4 linked regions of the Caenorhabditis elegans genome follow. The protein of the gene in region 1 purifies or fractionates together with the protein of each later gene. This does not show direct contact. Each region holds a gene or a part of one and is shown in the gene's direction. Other genes may lie near its edges.

The links.
Region 2: the proteins of ndub-7 (region 1) and ndub-3 fractionate together in Caenorhabditis elegans (co-fractionation; one large-scale study listed by BioGRID). This does not show direct contact.
Region 3: the proteins of ndub-7 (region 1) and trap-4 fractionate together in Caenorhabditis elegans (co-fractionation; one large-scale study listed by BioGRID). This does not show direct contact.
Region 4: the proteins of ndub-7 (region 1) and C16A3.5 fractionate together in Caenorhabditis elegans (co-fractionation; one large-scale study listed by BioGRID). This does not show direct contact.

The regions. Positions count from the first base shown.
Region 1 is NC_003279.8:7,580,191-7,584,291, reverse strand, and holds ndub-7 (NADH dehydrogenase [ubiquinone] 1 beta subcomplex subunit 7), read left to right. Parts: upstream 1-2,663; 5' UTR 2,664-2,668; coding exon 2,669-2,782; intron 2,783-2,864; coding exon 2,865-2,969; intron 2,970-3,074; coding exon 3,075-3,227; 3' UTR 3,228-3,348; downstream 3,349-4,101. Other genes in the region: D2030.12 (DUF4129 domain-containing protein), read right to left, coding at 180-288; mce-1 (Methylmalonyl-CoA epimerase, mitochondrial), read right to left, coding at 1,266-1,565, 1,909-2,034, 2,109-2,171; D2030.3 (Fanconi anemia group I protein), read left to right, coding at 3,461-3,523, 3,604-4,018, 4,086-4,101.
Region 2 is NC_003280.10:8,963,139-8,967,164, reverse strand, and holds ndub-3 (NADH dehydrogenase [ubiquinone] 1 beta subcomplex subunit 3), read left to right. Parts: upstream 1-2,274; 5' UTR 2,275-2,275; coding exon 2,276-2,406; intron 2,407-2,458; coding exon 2,459-2,525; intron 2,526-2,708; coding exon 2,709-2,822; 3' UTR 2,823-2,923; downstream 2,924-4,026. Other genes in the region: sec-62 (Translocation protein SEC62), read right to left, coding at 511-576, 626-948, 993-1,112, 1,197-1,448, 1,494-1,606, 1,658-1,733, 1,782-1,905, 1,971-1,991; sftd-3 (Vesicle transport protein), read left to right, coding at 3,022-3,137, 3,184-3,282.
Region 3 is NC_003281.10:11,918,711-11,922,857, forward strand, and holds trap-4 (Translocon-associated protein subunit delta), read left to right. Parts: upstream 1-2,024; 5' UTR 2,025-2,030; coding exon 2,031-2,076; intron 2,077-2,210; coding exon 2,211-2,539; intron 2,540-2,591; coding exon 2,592-2,696; 3' UTR 2,697-2,877; downstream 2,878-4,147. Other genes in the region: znf-593 (Zinc finger protein 593 homolog), read right to left, coding at 1-3; ccf-1 (CCR4-NOT transcription complex subunit 7), read right to left, coding at 479-997, 1,050-1,334, 1,382-1,510; Y56A3A.22 (DUF1279 domain-containing protein), read left to right, coding at 2,987-3,451, 4,016-4,147.
Region 4 is NC_003281.10:6,378,691-6,382,801, forward strand, and holds C16A3.5 (NADH dehydrogenase [ubiquinone] 1 beta subcomplex subunit 9), read left to right. Parts: upstream 1-2,081; 5' UTR 2,082-2,100; coding exon 2,101-2,151; intron 2,152-2,262; coding exon 2,263-2,703; 3' UTR 2,704-2,827; downstream 2,828-4,111. Other genes in the region: nfx-1 (Transcriptional repressor NF-X1 homolog), read left to right, coding at 1-319; C16A3.6 (Protein MAK16 homolog), read left to right, coding at 772-1,160, 1,213-1,335, 1,385-1,844; znf-622 (C2H2-type domain-containing protein), read left to right, coding at 2,956-3,138, 3,195-4,008, 4,081-4,111.

The DNA.
Region 1 (4,101 bases):
TTTTCTGTGCATGTCATTTTCAATTTACGATATTTTCGATTATCAGAAACATTGAAAAATCCAAAACTTTCGACGAGATCACTCAATTTCGAACGTTCTTTTCCATGCATTATATTCAAACCAGATTTAGAAAAGAACATTGATCTACGATCTCCTGTTCGTTTATATTTTGAACTAACTTGTGATATTAAATGAAAGTCGTGTGAATTCTTCTTCAAATTTATCTCCAAGATCGCCAGCTTTATCAGTAACTGATTTGAATAATCGAGTACCAAGATTGTTCAACATTAGATAATCTTTTAAATTGTTGAAATGAGGAATATGTTTGGCAGAGGATGATGATGAATCACCAGAATTGACGACAACAACTTGTTTTCAACTTGTGGTGGTGATCGAAGGTATACGAACAATTCGCGCGCATCGATTGAAGAACCGAAAAAGGTCGTTTTCTAATTGGAAACGAGGGAGAGGAAAAGAGACTGAACGATGTTGAATAACTGAATAAAACTGTGAAACGATGTTTACCGAGCTTTTTCGCAAACACTTTGGACATCTTTGGATTGAAATTCTTTTCGTCTTATTTGGAAAAATATTTTTCTAAAAAAGAATTTCCCTCTTTCAAATAGGTGCGTAGTATATCCACTAGAATTTCAGGATTGACGGCTCAGGGACCATCTTATACTGATTATGTCATAGATGTAATTTTGTTTTTGATTTCTGATTATTGACATTCTTCGCTTAAGTCTGAAATTTCTAAGAGTGTAGTTCATACAGTTTTGATTTTCTTCTTTTTTTTCCAAATCCTAATCCACTGTAACTTTTCTGAAAATAGGTTTTTTTCATATTACCCATAAATTTTACATTCTTTTCTGATATGTTTTTTCGTAGTTTTTCGCTTTAAAATTCAAATTATATTTTTGAAAACATGTAAACGAATTTATATTTTGAAAATTTAATGAAACAATTTATTGAAGTTGTAGGCAATTATTATGGCACAAGAAACAATAAAACATGTGAACAGATTAAAACGTATCAAAAATTAATCTCTATGCAAAATACTGGGTGCTAAAAGAAAGGTTTATAGTTTTTTTTTTTGTAATTTATATCATATTATCGATTTTTCAAAAGTTATAGGCTGCCAATAAAAAATTTTGAGAGAACTTTTGCGAAATTTAAAATTTGTGAAGTTTCTCACAAAAAAGTGAAGATCAAAACTTTGTCAAACAGATAATATGATTGCTAGATTTTGGGAACAAAGAATCAAATTATTCCTGCTCGAGTTCAATAAGTACACCTCCACAATCCTTTGGATGCAAGAACATTACTTCTTTTCCATGAGCTCCAATTTTTGGTTTCTCACCCAAAGTACGAATTCCTTTTGTTTTAACAGCAGAAACAGCTTCATGAATATCACGAACTTCAATACAAATATGATGCATTCCACCGTCCTTATTCTTATTCAAAAAAGCTTGAATTGGAGATTTCTCGCCGAATGGATGAAGAAGCTCGATTTTTGAGTTTGGAAGCTCAACGAAGACAGTGTAGACTCCATGTTCTGGTTGTGGCTGTAATTATTCAATTCAAAAATTTTAATATAAACTAGATGAGACATTTTATTTTTTATTTGCGGATTTTTATCATTTTTATGAAAAAACTTGTAATTAAATAAATATTTTTCAAGTAAGTTTACTGTAGTACACAAAATTCGCTTCATTCGCATTTTATTTCATTTTTCAGTTGTAGGGGTTTTTCCAAAATTTTTCGTTTTTTGTTATGCTATTTCAAAATTTTAGGCTATTCAATTTTTATTTTGATTTATGCTACAAAGAATTTAACAAAAATATTTTCTACATATTTTTGCTCTAAATTTTTATTGACATTAGGAAGAAACAAAAATTAAAGACTAACCACAGCCTCGCTAACTTTTGCTCCGAGGCCCTTGTAGAATTCCGATGATTTCTTGAGATCTGGTGTGGCAATGGCGACGTGGTTCAACTTTCCGAGAAGTCCTGCCAATGGATGGGAAGCCATGGTCTGAAAAGTCAAAATTTTTAAAGTAAAAAAGCGATTATCTAATAGTTTTCATCAGAAAAAATAGAAAAACCTACTCTTGTGGACAGCGAAAGCTTAGCAGAATTGACAAGGGCGAGTGTAGAACGGAAGGATGCCATTTTCAAAAGAAGAATCTATAAACATGGTTACTGTACTTTAATAAAATTTATAAAACTCGAAAAATGCTAAGTAATAAGCGTTTAAATGATTGAAACATCTGTGAGAAAATGAAAAGTAACAGAAACAAACAAAAGTTTAGATAAGAAAATGTTTTTGACATTGAAAATTCGGTCAATGAACCCGCTGTAAACTTGCTTTTTGCACGCACTCACTTTGATTACAACGACACTCCGATATTACACAAGTGCTTGTTGTTTATCTTATTTTATTTCGGGCAATTTTTGTGCCAATTTTCAGCTTTACTTTGTTTTTAACGTTTTAGAAGAATATTTTCCGGAAAAATATGTTAAATTATTAAAATATAAATTGTTCACTTCTTATCAGCAAAGCATTCGCTGCCCTAAGCATGCTAATTATTTATTTTGAGTTGATTCAAATATCAGAAGAGTTTTGATGCTTTCTTTATTTTGTACCAATTCCTTTTTTTTCAGCCAAGATGGGAACTAAACTGTCCGTCTCATTGGAAGGAGCCAGTACACCAGAAACCGCGCCACGTGTCGACAGACCACCAACTTTCGATCCTCAGTATGGATTCGAGCGACCGAGAAAGGTAAACAACTTTTTTAAAAGTTCATTAAATAACTGTTCATTTAATTCATAAATATTCAATATAATAAAGTTTAATATTCAAGGTCCGCGAGATGAAGGCTACTTGGGAAGAGATGGAGCAGTGGAAGTTGAAGCCAGCTCAACGCGATTATTGTGCTCACCACTTGATTTCACTCATGAAATGCCAAGTAAGATTTTTGTTTTAGTTACAATGATATATTTTTAAAATTATATAAAAATACACATCTAAAATTATTTTCTCAAAAACAGCAAAAATAATTTATTATATTCAGACCCAAAATGCACCATTTGCCGGACACGCGTGCGACGGAGAACGTGGAGCTTGGGATAAATGTGAATATGATGATCATATCATGAGAATCAAAGAATTCGAACGTGAACGACGATTGCTTCAAAGACAGGCTCGCAAAGAAGCCACTGCTTGAATAGATGTCGATGAGATATTTCTTTAAATGATTTTTGATAATAGTATAGTTTTTTGTGAATACTATGTGTCTTTTGTTTCGTTTCTTTTTCTCTCGATTTCGGATAAATATTGAGTCGTACACTTTTTTTTAATGTTGAAAATTTTTTTGTTGTTCGTATCATTTGTAATATATCTATGCTATAATGATTCCGATTAGTTTTCCATATTATAATTTAAAAACACCTTTCAGAGATGACCGAAATCCGAAAAGTCGTCCAAGAAACAATGGTTGGAAAACCAGAAGACGAAATTCAGGTTAGAAATTGTCAAATTTTTTTGAATTATCTAAAAACCTACATATTCTGTCATGGATCCATTCATCAAATAAGTTTCAGACTTTCGAAAAATGTCTCCGTCTCGTTGGATCCAATCGAACACGTAAAGAACAAGAACTAGGATTTTGTCTTATGTCGAGAATGATCATCAAATGTTCTTCACAAACTCTACGAGCAGTTCAATCGCGATTGGCTAATCGACTTGCTCATATCTCGGATCATTTTCAATTATGTGGATCACTTTATACTCGAGAACTTCTTGTTAGAAATCCGCAAGCTGGAGAACTTCATTCTCCAATTGTATTCAAGATTATTCTTAATTGCATGGATGCTGCTGCACAAACAAGTGATCCCAATATTCGTGGATTGGCTGCTGAACTGTTTGGATTGAGAATTAGCAATCAGAATCTAACAATGTTGTTGAATACGCTTGAAGTTTTGTTGAGTGCAACCAAGATTAAAAATGTATCAAATGGTTAGTAATTTTATCAACAAAAAAAAGTACAACTCTATTGGCACGTAAAATCTGAATTTATTTTCAGATCTCCTTCAGCTTAG
Region 2 (4,026 bases), on another chromosome or scaffold:
CAATTCATGCTTTAACCACGTCTTTTTGATGTGCTGTGATGGTCATCTTTTCACATTTATCTCCCTTTTCTTGTTCCATCAGTCCGATTCGGAATTGTGTTAATCAACACGGGTCGTACTTCCTCTTTCTCCCCCCATCTCCACATATTTATATCATTATTTTCTACATTCATTTTGGCATGTTTCAAGTTATTCAATTTTCTATTGTTATATGAGCCAAGTTTGATGAAGAAATTATCTTGTTTGACTTTTGTATAGACCAATTTATTATATGTCCAATAGTGGACCGAAACGGAAACATTCAGATTTTAGTTATGCAAGAACAATGAAGAGTGACTGAGAAAGAAGAAACTAGCCAAGAGGGTAATCACAGTATGGAAGAATGGGACGAAAAATAGTATTTAAAATGTGACGAAACCGACAGGATGAGGGTAATGCAATAGATTTTCAGGACAAGTTTTCATAAATGCAGAAATGTGGAATGGAAAAATTTCAGGATAAACTAAATTTCTAGACTTTAGCTGGACGACGTTTTCGAGGAGCATCGTCACTTGGTGATGGTGGAGCAGAGATTTCCTAAATTTCAAAATTATAATTATTTAAATTGAAACACTTATCAGATTACCTCGTCTTCAATTTTTTCATAATTATCATCAGTTGATGCCTGACTATTTTTTTCAGCATCATCGTCTTCTTCCTCTTTTTGCTCCTGTTCAGCAGCAATGTGGTCTTGCTCCTCCTCTTCTGCATCAGAATCCTTTTCTTTTTTCGACTTTTTATCTTTCTTATCTTTCTTAGCTTCTTTCTTCTCATCACCAACATACTCATAAGTATACCATGGTTGGAATGATTCAAGAACTCCACAGTCTTCAGTCAAGTTCGGCAGAACCCAGAGTTTGTGTTTTCCGAAAGTAACAGCGTAGATAATTCCGAAAAGAATAGTACGGACTGAAAATAATCGAAAAATGAATATTATTGTTGAAACAACTCACGTATAGCAGTGACAATGATAGCTGCAAAACATCCAATTCCAGTAATTGATACGTAATAAACTCCTTGGCGAAGCCATACAGGCCATAGAGGGAACAAGCATCCGACAATTGTACCGACGACTGAAATATATTAATTGGATTTTAATTTTACACATTGAATCATTTCTAAAGCAGGAAATAACAAATCAAAAAGGGAAAACTTACGCATAAGTACTCCAATAATCTTTTTCATGAGAGGAGTTGGATCGAATACCCAAACGTAGACATCTTTGTCATCGACGAATGCTTGAACTTCATGTACAAGAAGCTTCACCTTCTTTTTCTTTTTTTCTTCGTCTTTCTTTTCGTCTTTTTTCACTTCTTTCTCATCACCTTCAGCTTCGGTTGCTGTTTCTTCTTCTTTGGCTTTTTTATTTCTCTTTTCAACTACACCTTTTGGAGATTTGGTAACTTCAGCTGAAAAAAACGTGTTTTAAGATATTTTTTAAGTTTTATGATTACCAGAAGAATCGTTTCCTTTATCTTTATTCTCTTTTTTCTTTGCTACTAATTTTTTTGCACGGAAGAATAATTGTTTCGAGTTGAGTTCGCAAATATAATGGAAGCAATCATCTCTGAAAATTTAGAATCTATTTAAATTTACGTAATTTCTACAGAATGCCCACCTTGTTTTAAACATTGCATCTTTCTTTGCTTTATTTCCGTACTTGGATTCCCAAAGAGTATCGACAGCTTTATTTCCTGAAAATATATGCGATATTAATATAAACAATTGAAATTTGTACATACCACTGAAATAATGAACTTCGTTTCCTTCAAACATGGTCGTGGCTGTCGGACAATTGAATCTGATGTATTTGGCAATGTCTTCTTGCTCCTTCGTCATTTTTACGGCATCTTCCGTAGATACGCCCTGAAATTTGAATTAAAACATCGTTCTTTTCTAGTTAATATTGATTTTTCCGAATAAAAACTCACTTTTTGATTACGTTTCGACATGGTTAAAGTTTTCCTTTATTAAAAAAGCAGAAAAAATGTTGAGAATCTGAAAATACAGCCAAAACAAAAGTGGTGCGTTGGAACAAGCCAAAATCTCCTGACAATTGATTGAGAAAAGTGTGCCGCAGTTGCGCTCTGACGGAAAACGCAACTGCCGCACGCTTACACACCGCGTAAATCTACACAAACTCGGCTGGCATTTCTTTCTGATTTTATCGTTCTCTTCATTTATTTTCATAATACAGGTTTCTAAAACATTTTTTTTCAATTATTTTAATTCCAGAATGGGTGGAGGACATCACGAGCCGTTTAAGATCCCAAACTACTCAATCTACAGCAATTTTCGCGATTTTCCACAGTTGGCGCAGCATGAAAAACGACTCGCTCAAATCGGATTGAAGGATCCATGGATCAGGTCGGTTTTTTATCGATAATATTAATAAATATATTATTGATTTTTCTTTCAGAAACTACGTCTACTTGTACGATCGAAAGTATCCACACGTTGTTGGACAATGGGCTCATTTCAAGAAGGTTCGTGTTTTCTTCGAGATGAATTAAATATTATTAATATAATACCAACATAATATTAAAAAATTTTTATGGATTGTATCCTATAAATGTGCTCTTGTTTGGAAAATTTCCGAGCAAGCCGATTTTCCAAAAATTATATTAATGTATTTAGGGAATTTTTTAAAATTATTTAATAAATTTCAGTTGATTCTTCCTGGATGGAAAGCTGGAGTTGCATTCACAGCTGCCTTGATTTTCGTTGAAGAAGCTTACCAATACAAGACTCACGGAACCACCTCATGGGATGGTCATCATTAGAATTATCTGTTTCAAATCTCGAGCCGATTTCTTTTTTTTTAGTTTAAAAGTTTTCTTTTTGTGTATGTAGTTTCTTAAACTCCAATAAATCATTCATTTTTAAAATCGCAATTCACCCTCGTTGAAAATTGGTATTCTGCCAGAAAGGTTTCTATGATAACGATGTCAATAAATGTTTTACAACAACAATTTAAAGGGCATGTCTGCTCTAGAGCAGTTCATAAATGATCAGAAGAAGAAAGGAAGTGGTATCAGCAGTTCAGCTTCATTTTCTTCATTTGATTCACTTCGCAACAAGCTTCCAACGTCTATTGGGTAACAAATTTCACTTAGAAGAAATGTATAAAGTTTGAAGTTTCAGAGGATTTTCCCTACTTTCCCGAAGCGAAACAACCGATAGTCAGCAGTTATTAGTTGGAGATGATTCTGGAGATGGACAATTGCCAGCTTCCAGAAATCGGTATGTTTTGTTCAGAAAAACAAAAAAAAATAAACTGAAAATCTTGATTTCTTTGAATTAAATACTCCTAAGTAGGCAAATATCAATTAAATATTATATATTTCAATTTTTAACTGATGAGAAACGGATAAAATTGTTTTCGTTTTAATAGACTCAAAATGGTTTTGAATTACTTAAATTTCATAATAAGATTACTCAAAAACTTTCAACGCTTTTTTGGCAGTTCGAAAAAAGTTTTAAAAATATTTCCAAAAGCTATGTTCACTTATCAGCGAAATTTTACGATTTTCGCGACAAAAATACGGTAGCCGGTATCGACACGCCGTTTTTTTGGAAAACAAAAATAGATGTGAGCCTTTAAAAAGTACTGTAGTTTAAAAATTTCGTTGCCGCTGAATTTTCATCGACTTTACATAGTTTTTCGGTAAAAATATACTTATTTAAAAAATTAAAATATGAATAAGCTATAAAAAATCGACGAAAATTTCACATTAACGAAAGTTTGAAATTACAGTACTCTTTAAAGGCGCGCACCTATTTGAATTTAATTAAATTAGTTGTGTCGAGACCGGACACCGTATTCTTTGCGCAAAATTGCAAGCCCGGGAAATATTATCACTCTTTTTGTGTTAAAACGACAAAATATCATTGCATTTCAAAAAAGGATATCTTTAAAATTTACAGTCAAAAATTGGATATTACTCAGCTTTAGAAACTTATAATTATCGAAGTCAACCAAAAAAA
Region 3 (4,147 bases), on another chromosome or scaffold:
CATTTTTTGCTGAAATACTACTTTTGTTAAGCTTTGAATCTAGACAAAACAGCTGAAAAAGATAATTTCAGGCTCAAAAACCCTTATTTTAGTTGAAAATTTAAAGTTTCCGCGAGTAGATTTCGAAAATTTTTATTTTTTTGGGCATAGGGGAGGGAAAATGAAAATAAAAAGATACACGGGGCGCCCGATCTCGCCCAGCTTCTACTGCTGCTGAAAATTACAAATAAAAAAGATCGAACTTTCAGAGTAATGATCACCTATAAACAACTAAGCGTATAGTCATCAAGTATAGGGAGATATAATAACAAAGACAAATTATAGGGCGCGTGAAAACACAAAAAACTTGGGTGAGAGATGGGGAAGGGCACGAAACAGACAGCTAATTTACAATAACAGTGTAGACGGTTTTTGGTGGAAAAAGGAAGAAAAAAATAAAAGAAATAGACACATGAAAAATGACGGGAAAGAGATCTGTTCAGGCTTGTTGTGGAACTCCGATTAGGCCTTGTGGTGTCTCATCGCCTAGTCGAGAAGTTGATCCGGAGCTATGGAACAGCGAAAGCGAAGATCCAAGACCAAACATATGTCCACAGATCAATGGAGCAATCTGGTTCCAGTTGTCTCCGAAAAACTGCTTTTTGATCTTGAAAAACGTGGCGGCGGTCAGCAGTGCGTCGGATCCAGCTTGATGGCGAACTCCTTGTCGTTTCACGTCCAGCTGATCGGCGACCTCTTGAAGTCCTCCTTTCAGCTTTGCAGACGCGCAATTTGGAGTTCGGAGCAGGATTTTGATGTCGAAGCTGGTTGGGAAGAGAGTTTTGTGGCACATGAAGAACGTTGACTCTTCCTTAGGCAGATCTCCAAGTGTGATGCTTTTCAACAAATATCCAAAGTCGTAGCCGGAAGAGAACGTGAGCCATGTGATCCGTGGATCAGTGATGAGGCCTGACGTCGTCAAAAGTTCTCCGAATACTGCTGTCGGTATTCCATTGTTCTGGAAGAAAGAAATTATTATTAAAATATTGGAAAATCAATATTAAAAAAACCTGCAGCAATGTGAAGTCTATTCCGGCTTGCCGGAGCATTTCGACACTCTCATGCGAGAACATGTCTTCAGCGAAGGAGAAATTGAAATTGAACTGCCAAACATCGCCAGTCGGTGGTAGCTCTCCTTTGTCATTGACCATTGCAAAGCCCACTTGTATTAATTTCAGCATATTCACATTACAGAACACTTGCTGATAATTGAAATCTTCCTTGCTTCGAAATGTGCCCAACGGTGTCGCCACAACTCCGGGAAATTCTGTGTCCATTGCCACGTAGGGATAATCCTGAAAAAAAACCGATTTTTTAAAAATATTCAAACGATCGGCTGTACCTCGACGAATCCTCGAATCCTCGCGAATTCCTCCTCCACGTTTGACATATATACGTTGTGAATCTTGACTTCTGGTGCTCCACTTGCTCCACCTGCTCCACCTGCTCCACCACTGCTACTAGAAGCCATTTTTATGATATCTGGAACTAGAATTTTCGTTTTAGAGTGAACGCTTTTATTTTCGATTTTTTTAAACGAATTTATGGGACAGAAATCGAAAATAGCTTATAAAATAAATAAAATAATTTTTCCGCAAACTTTTAAAGCAGAAAAACGGGAGAAAAAGTCAGTTTGCAAAAGTTTTGAAGCGCAAAAGAAGTTCTTGAACGATCGATTTTGGATCGGCATTAAAGGCGCATGGAGTTTCCCAGCGGTGTGGGTCTCGCAGCGAACGGGAGAGAACTGCAAACTGGCTAGCTGCCAAGTGAGTTTGTTTTACGTGAAACTGTCGAGAAAACATCGTTTTAGTGAATTAAAATGTGTTTTTAATGAATTTTTCACTTATTTTCTTGATTTTTACCCTAAAAACATGAATTTTGTGCGTTAAAATGATGCAAATTCGAGTAAAATACGTATAGAATGCCTATTTTACTCATTTTACAAGATAATTCTTCAAAACACGAATTTAATTACTTTTTTGCAGGTAATAATGCTGAAGATCGCCGTCGCCCTTTGCCTTGTCGCTTCCGCTCTTTGTAAGTTGGAAAAATTAATAAATTCCCACACAAATTATTCAAATGTGTGGCTTGTATAAAAATAAGGCTCGATTTTTCGAATTTTAAGCGTAGATTGTTAACATTTAATACAAATAAAACAATAAATATTCCAGGCGCCAAGTGCGAGTCGCCAAAGTACTCGGCCTCGTCATTCTCCACTACCGACGGATTCTTCCACTACAAAACCACCTTCATCACCGAGTTCACACTTCAATGCAGCAACAACCCGAAGAATATCCAATACACTGCTGAAGTAAACGGTCGCCTTATCCCAGTCTCGATTTCCGACGAGACCGCCAAGTTCCAAGTCTCATGGACTCTTGAGCACAAGGACGCCGGAGCTCAAACCTTTAATATTAACATTTTCGACGAGGAGGGAGCCGCTCAATACGCCAAGAACCCTGTCACCAAGCCACTCTTCACCGTTCAACAAAGCCATGGGGTGAGAATTGCATCATTTTCACATAATTATCTTTAAAAATCATTTTTTGCAGGGTCTCGCCACGAAGTCTCCAATCTCTTCCGAGACTGTCGCCGTCATCATCGTCGTCATTGGCCTTTACTACGCCATTCGTCAAAAGACCGAACTTGTCCACTAAATATCATTGTTTTTATCCCCAAATTACTGGTCAACGCACGTTTGCGTGCTGGGTTTTTGTTCTTTTTGTTTTTATTTATATATACAAAATGTAATTTATTGATTTTTGCCCCTTTTTCCACCCCATTCGTGTATTTATAAGTTCAGTAGCCCCCAAATAGCCATAAATTGAAATTTAATTGCTAGACTGACGTAAAAAAAAGTTTAAAGAGTTGAGAGTGTAAATCCCCGGGAAACTTACTTTAGATAATTTTAAGACCCCCTTTAGGCCAAAATTTTCATTCAGGCAAAATGCTTTTGGCTCGATCCATAATCCGATGCTCGCGGAGCATCTGTTGTGCTCAATTCCAGACCCCATCAAGCTCACGATTCCTGCACACAAGTCGACAACTCCACGAGAAAGAGCCCACTCCGAAGAAGCCAGACGATCAAAAATGGAAAATGTTCAGAATGACAATGTCTGAGGAGCAAAAACTCGCAAAAACGGCGAAAATCGAGCAAATGAAGGCGGAAGAAGCGCCGAAAACGTTGTTCGCAAAAGTGAAATATTATTTTAAAAGATATTGGTATATCGCTGTGCCGGCTCACGCGGCATCGTGTACAGCATGGTTTATCGCATTGTATTTGGTGGTTAAAAGTGGAGTTGATGTGATTTCATTGCTCGAATGGCTTCATATGCCGGATGCTATCGTTGAAAAGGTCAAAAATACGCCCGAAACCGCCGGAGTTGTGGTGGTTTCGCTGATTTTGTACAAGGTTCGGAGGATTTTCAGATGTTTTTTCGAAAACTTTAATTAAATAACAATTTGTTTGGAAAAAACACAGATTTTCTCGGAAGAAACCCAATTTTTTTGTATAAAAAGCACGATTTTTTAGACAAAAACCATGTTTTGTAAAGAAATCAATTTTATTGAAAAAACTAATTTTTTAAAGAAAAAAGGAACAAAAAGGGAAGCCCTGGTTATTACACAGACGCGAAATTCTTCAATGTTAAAAAGGTGTGCGCCTTTAAAGAGTACTGTAGTTTCAAACTTTGTGGAGTTTCATCGATTTTTTAATATTTCTCACGAAGAACAAAGAAAATTACAACAAGTAAAACTACAGTAATCTTTAAAGGCGCACATCTTTTTTACATTGAAGAAAAAATGTTATCGTGTCGAGACCAATTACAGTATTTTTGTATATGTAATACTACAAAAGACGTGGAAATGTTGCCAAAAAATTACGAATTTTAGCAGAATTTAACCAGAAAAATAATTTTTTTTTCCAAAAAAATGTATTTTTTCGCGTATGTGTAATAATAAAAATTTAAATTTTCAGATCGCAATGCCATTCCGCTACATGACGACACTTTTGCTCATTCAAGCCACTTTCTGGACTCTCCGAAGATTGGGAAAACTGAAGACCGCTCGAGAAGTCGAGTACAAGGTCCGAAGTGAATATGAGCTGAAT
Region 4 (4,111 bases), on another chromosome or scaffold:
AAACCAATTTGCTCTTTTGGGGAGCGATGTCGATTCGGACGATGAAGAAAGTAACGTTCCGACAACAAGTAATTTAGTATCTTCACCTCCAAAAGATTGGTGGAAAGACGAGGAAGAAGGGTGGCAAAAAGTGCAACAAAAAGAGTATGTTGTTGAAGTCGAACGCGATATGACCGAAGATGAGATTGAGGCGGCGAAAAAACTGGATGAAGGTCCCACATGGGAAGATCAATGTGACGAAGATGCACCAGCAACAGAAACCAGTTCAGCTATTGAATCTCCAGCGAAAGAGGAGCCGGTTGCTGAATTACTAGAATAAAACGTATTAGATTTTTTACATGCACTATCACATCAATTTTCGATGTTACTATTCATATCCTCAATTGTACGGTGTAACAGTTTGTTTCAAGTACATTTCCATTGTTTTGAATACTTTAAAATACGGTTTGCTTGTTTTAACTAATGAATAAATATTCTCTGGTGTTTATATTATTTTAATTGCGTTCCTGTGGCCCAGTTATTTCCTGTGAAAATATTTGTTTGAGACTTTAAATTTTAATTGAAAGATGAAAATAGAGAGAAGGCGCCTTAAGGCACGCGGGACTGACAAAGTGTGCAAACACCGCCACGCGAAGACGCACACTTTCGGTTCTTTCACAATTTTTTTGCCCGTTCTTCTCAATCAATTCTTGCTTCTTTTTCCTTTTATCGAAGTAATTCTCGTGTGAAAAACAACTCAAAAAATTCGAATTTTTCAGAAACTGGGTAAAAATGCAGTGCGACGATGTGACTTGGAACATTCTCAACAAGGGACAATGCGCCTACAAAGCGTGGACAAAGCCAAAAATGTTCTGTAAAAATGAAATGAATTTGACTGGTTTGTGCAACAGAGCTTCGTGTCCATTGGCTAACTCACAGTATGCAACAGTTCGTGAGGAGAACGGAGTATGTTACTTGTACGCAAAAGTTGTCGAACGATCTCACTATCCACGTCGTTTATGGGAAAAGACAAAGTTGTCAAAGGATATGAACAAAGCATTGGAACAAATCAGTGATCAACTTCTTCATTGGAGTGAATATGTTAGACACAAGTGCAAAGCTCGTCTCATCCGAATTCATCAATATTTGATCAGAATGCGTAAAATGGCAGTCCGTGGAAAGTAAGTTTAAACTTATAGAAACTGAATTTTGCATAGTATTATTTATTTTCAGCCAGAAGAAACTCATTCCAATTGGACGGAAAGTGGAAAGACGTGAGAAACGTCGTGAAGAGAAGGCACTTGTTGCAGCTAAACTTGATCACGCTATTGAGAAAGAGCTCTTAGCCAGACTTAAGTGAGTTGATATATTAGAAAGTGCACATTTTGAATGAAACAACTTTTAGACAAGGAACATATGGCGATGTTTACAACTTCCGTCAAGAGGCATTCGAACAAATGCTGGAAAACACTGAAAAAGAGTTGGAAGTGGAGCAAGAACTCGAGCAGGACGACGCAGACACGGGTGAGACTCAGTTCGTCGCTGACTTTGATAGTTCCGACGATGAGGATCAGGACATGGAAGACGGAGGTGATGGACATTGGTCACCAGGAGATACTGACAGTGAGAACGAGGATAATTGGCAGCCAGAACAAGAACAAGAGGATTCGGATGAAGATGATGAGGAAGGAGGTGATGAGCCAATGGAAATTGAGGAGCCACCAAAGAAGAAGGTAAAGAAGGAGCCGAAGAAAAAGACTGGGAAGAAAGCTGCTGATGGAAAGAAGAAGAAGCTCAAGAAACGAGCTCATGTTGAGATTGAATACGAAGAAGAAACGGAGCCACGACAAAGGGTCAAGGCATAAAACTTCGCATTCCATTTTGTCTGTTATCGTTATTTTTGTTCTTTTCTTTTATTCGCCCTCTTCCAATTGTGTTGTTGTTATTTGCTTTTTAATTTTTAACTCTTTTACCCAAAAATTCAAATGAAAATTGTTACTTTTCCTTGTTTACTAAAAATTAAACTGATTGGTTTTTTTTCCAATTTTATTTTATTGTTCCAATCACATATTTTTGTACTCTATAAAACCCATTGTTTTCAGAGAAGACCGGGAGGAAGCCATGGATTCGCCGGCGTGGATGTTCACGAAGGCGCTGAGCCATAGACAGAAGGTAATTTTTATTTTTGAAAAGCTTTAGTCGTTTGTGAAATTGGTAGCGTTGTTTTTTAATCTGATTGGAGATTTCGTCTGTTTAAAATGTAGCGAATTATTGCATTTTCAGGTCACCCGCCTCTACAAACGCTGTCTTCGCGAAGTTGACAACTGGTATGGAGGAAACAATCTGGAAGTTCGCTTCCAAAAGTGTATTATCCGTGCTCGATTCGACGCTAACGCTGATGAGGTTGACACCCGTAAGAGCCAGATCCTTCTTGCCGACGGATGCCGTCAATTGTGGGAGAAACGTCATTTCAAGCCTTTCCGTTTTGCTCTCGATCCAGGAGGTTCCAGTTATGATCGTGAACGCGAGTCGCCGGATGAGATTGTCGATTCGGATCAATGGACATTGGCTGAACGTGAACAGTTCCCCTACTACTTCAATACTCGTGAGCAGAGAAAGAAGGAGTTGCTGACTCACTGGGCCAAAATCGAAAAAGCTTGGGATGAGGAGATCGCGTCAATTCAAACCCAACTACCAGCTGCTGCCCCAACTGTTTCCAAATAGGCCACTATGAGGAAGTAATGCGATTGATTTTAAGTAGAACGAGCTCACTCGTAGACCGAATAATTTTGTTTTGTTTTTTATGAATTTAACGTCACTGAACAAATAAATATAGCTGTATTTTCATTGTATATTATCATTTATTATTCATCTGTTTAAATGGTTATTGCTGACCATTTGCATATTTTTTCCAATTTATTTAAATTTCTTCTTGTAAGCTTTAAATTAAACATTTTATTACAGAGATCTATCAGAATGGATGGATCTACAGGGTTCACATGTGTAACATGCCGTGTCGTCTTCGAGACAGCCGAGCTGCAGAGAGATCATTACAAAACCGAATGGCATCGGTACAATCTGAAAAGACAAGCTGCTGAGCTTCCAGCTATAGGAATTGAGCTTTTCAATGAGAAAGCTGCATCGTTCAACCCAACAAAGGTAGGGGAAAAGTTTTCTAATGTTCGCTTAATACTTACTCATTATCAATTTTTCAGCCAGTCGTTGCTGCTTCAGTTGAACCATTGTACTGCAAGGCTTGTCGGAAATCAATCAAATCGGAGAATGCAATGACTGATCACGTAGCTAGCAAAAAGCACAAGGAAAATGAGAAGAAGATTGAGGATGATGTGAAGAAAGGTCCAAAGCAACCAAGAAAGAAGCCAGAGAATTTGCCAAAGAAACCTGAGTCACTAAAGGAACCTGAAAATGATGAAGATGATGACTCGAGTGGATGGGAAACTGACGATGAGGAGGAAGGTGTGGAGGAACTAAATGAGGATGATGCTCTTCCAGTCACATCTTGTCTGTTTTGTCCACAGACAAAGCCTAATATGGATGAAATGCGTACTCATATGAACTTCCATCATGGATTCCAACTTCCAGACAGGCAATACTTGAGCGATGAACTTGGATGCTTAAGCTACTTGGGACTTAAAGTTGGAGCTGGTCGTTGCTGTATCTTCTGCCCAGACGTTAAAGCCAGATACGAATCAGTTCAGAGTTGTCAGCAGCACATGCGAGATAAGCAGCACTGCAAACTCCGCAGAGATCCTGAAAGCATGATTGAGCTCGACGACTACTATGATTACAGTCCGATGTATGATGGAGATGATCAAGATAAGTCAGAACTGTTTGATGATGGATGGTCGCTTACTCTCCCTTCTGGAGCTAAAATTGGACACCGTAACCTTCATCGATATTTCAAACAATACCTTCGCCCAGTTGATGGTACACAGAGACTTGTTTCAAGAGCAGCACTCGATAAAGCAAAGGGATTCTATCCAGCTCTCGCTTGGACTGGAACTACGAGTAAGTTTTATTAGAATTCTATGACATCAAATAGTAGAAATAAAAAGAAATGTAACAAAAATAATATTTCAGCTGTCGCGGCCAAGAAGGTTGCTCGAGACAT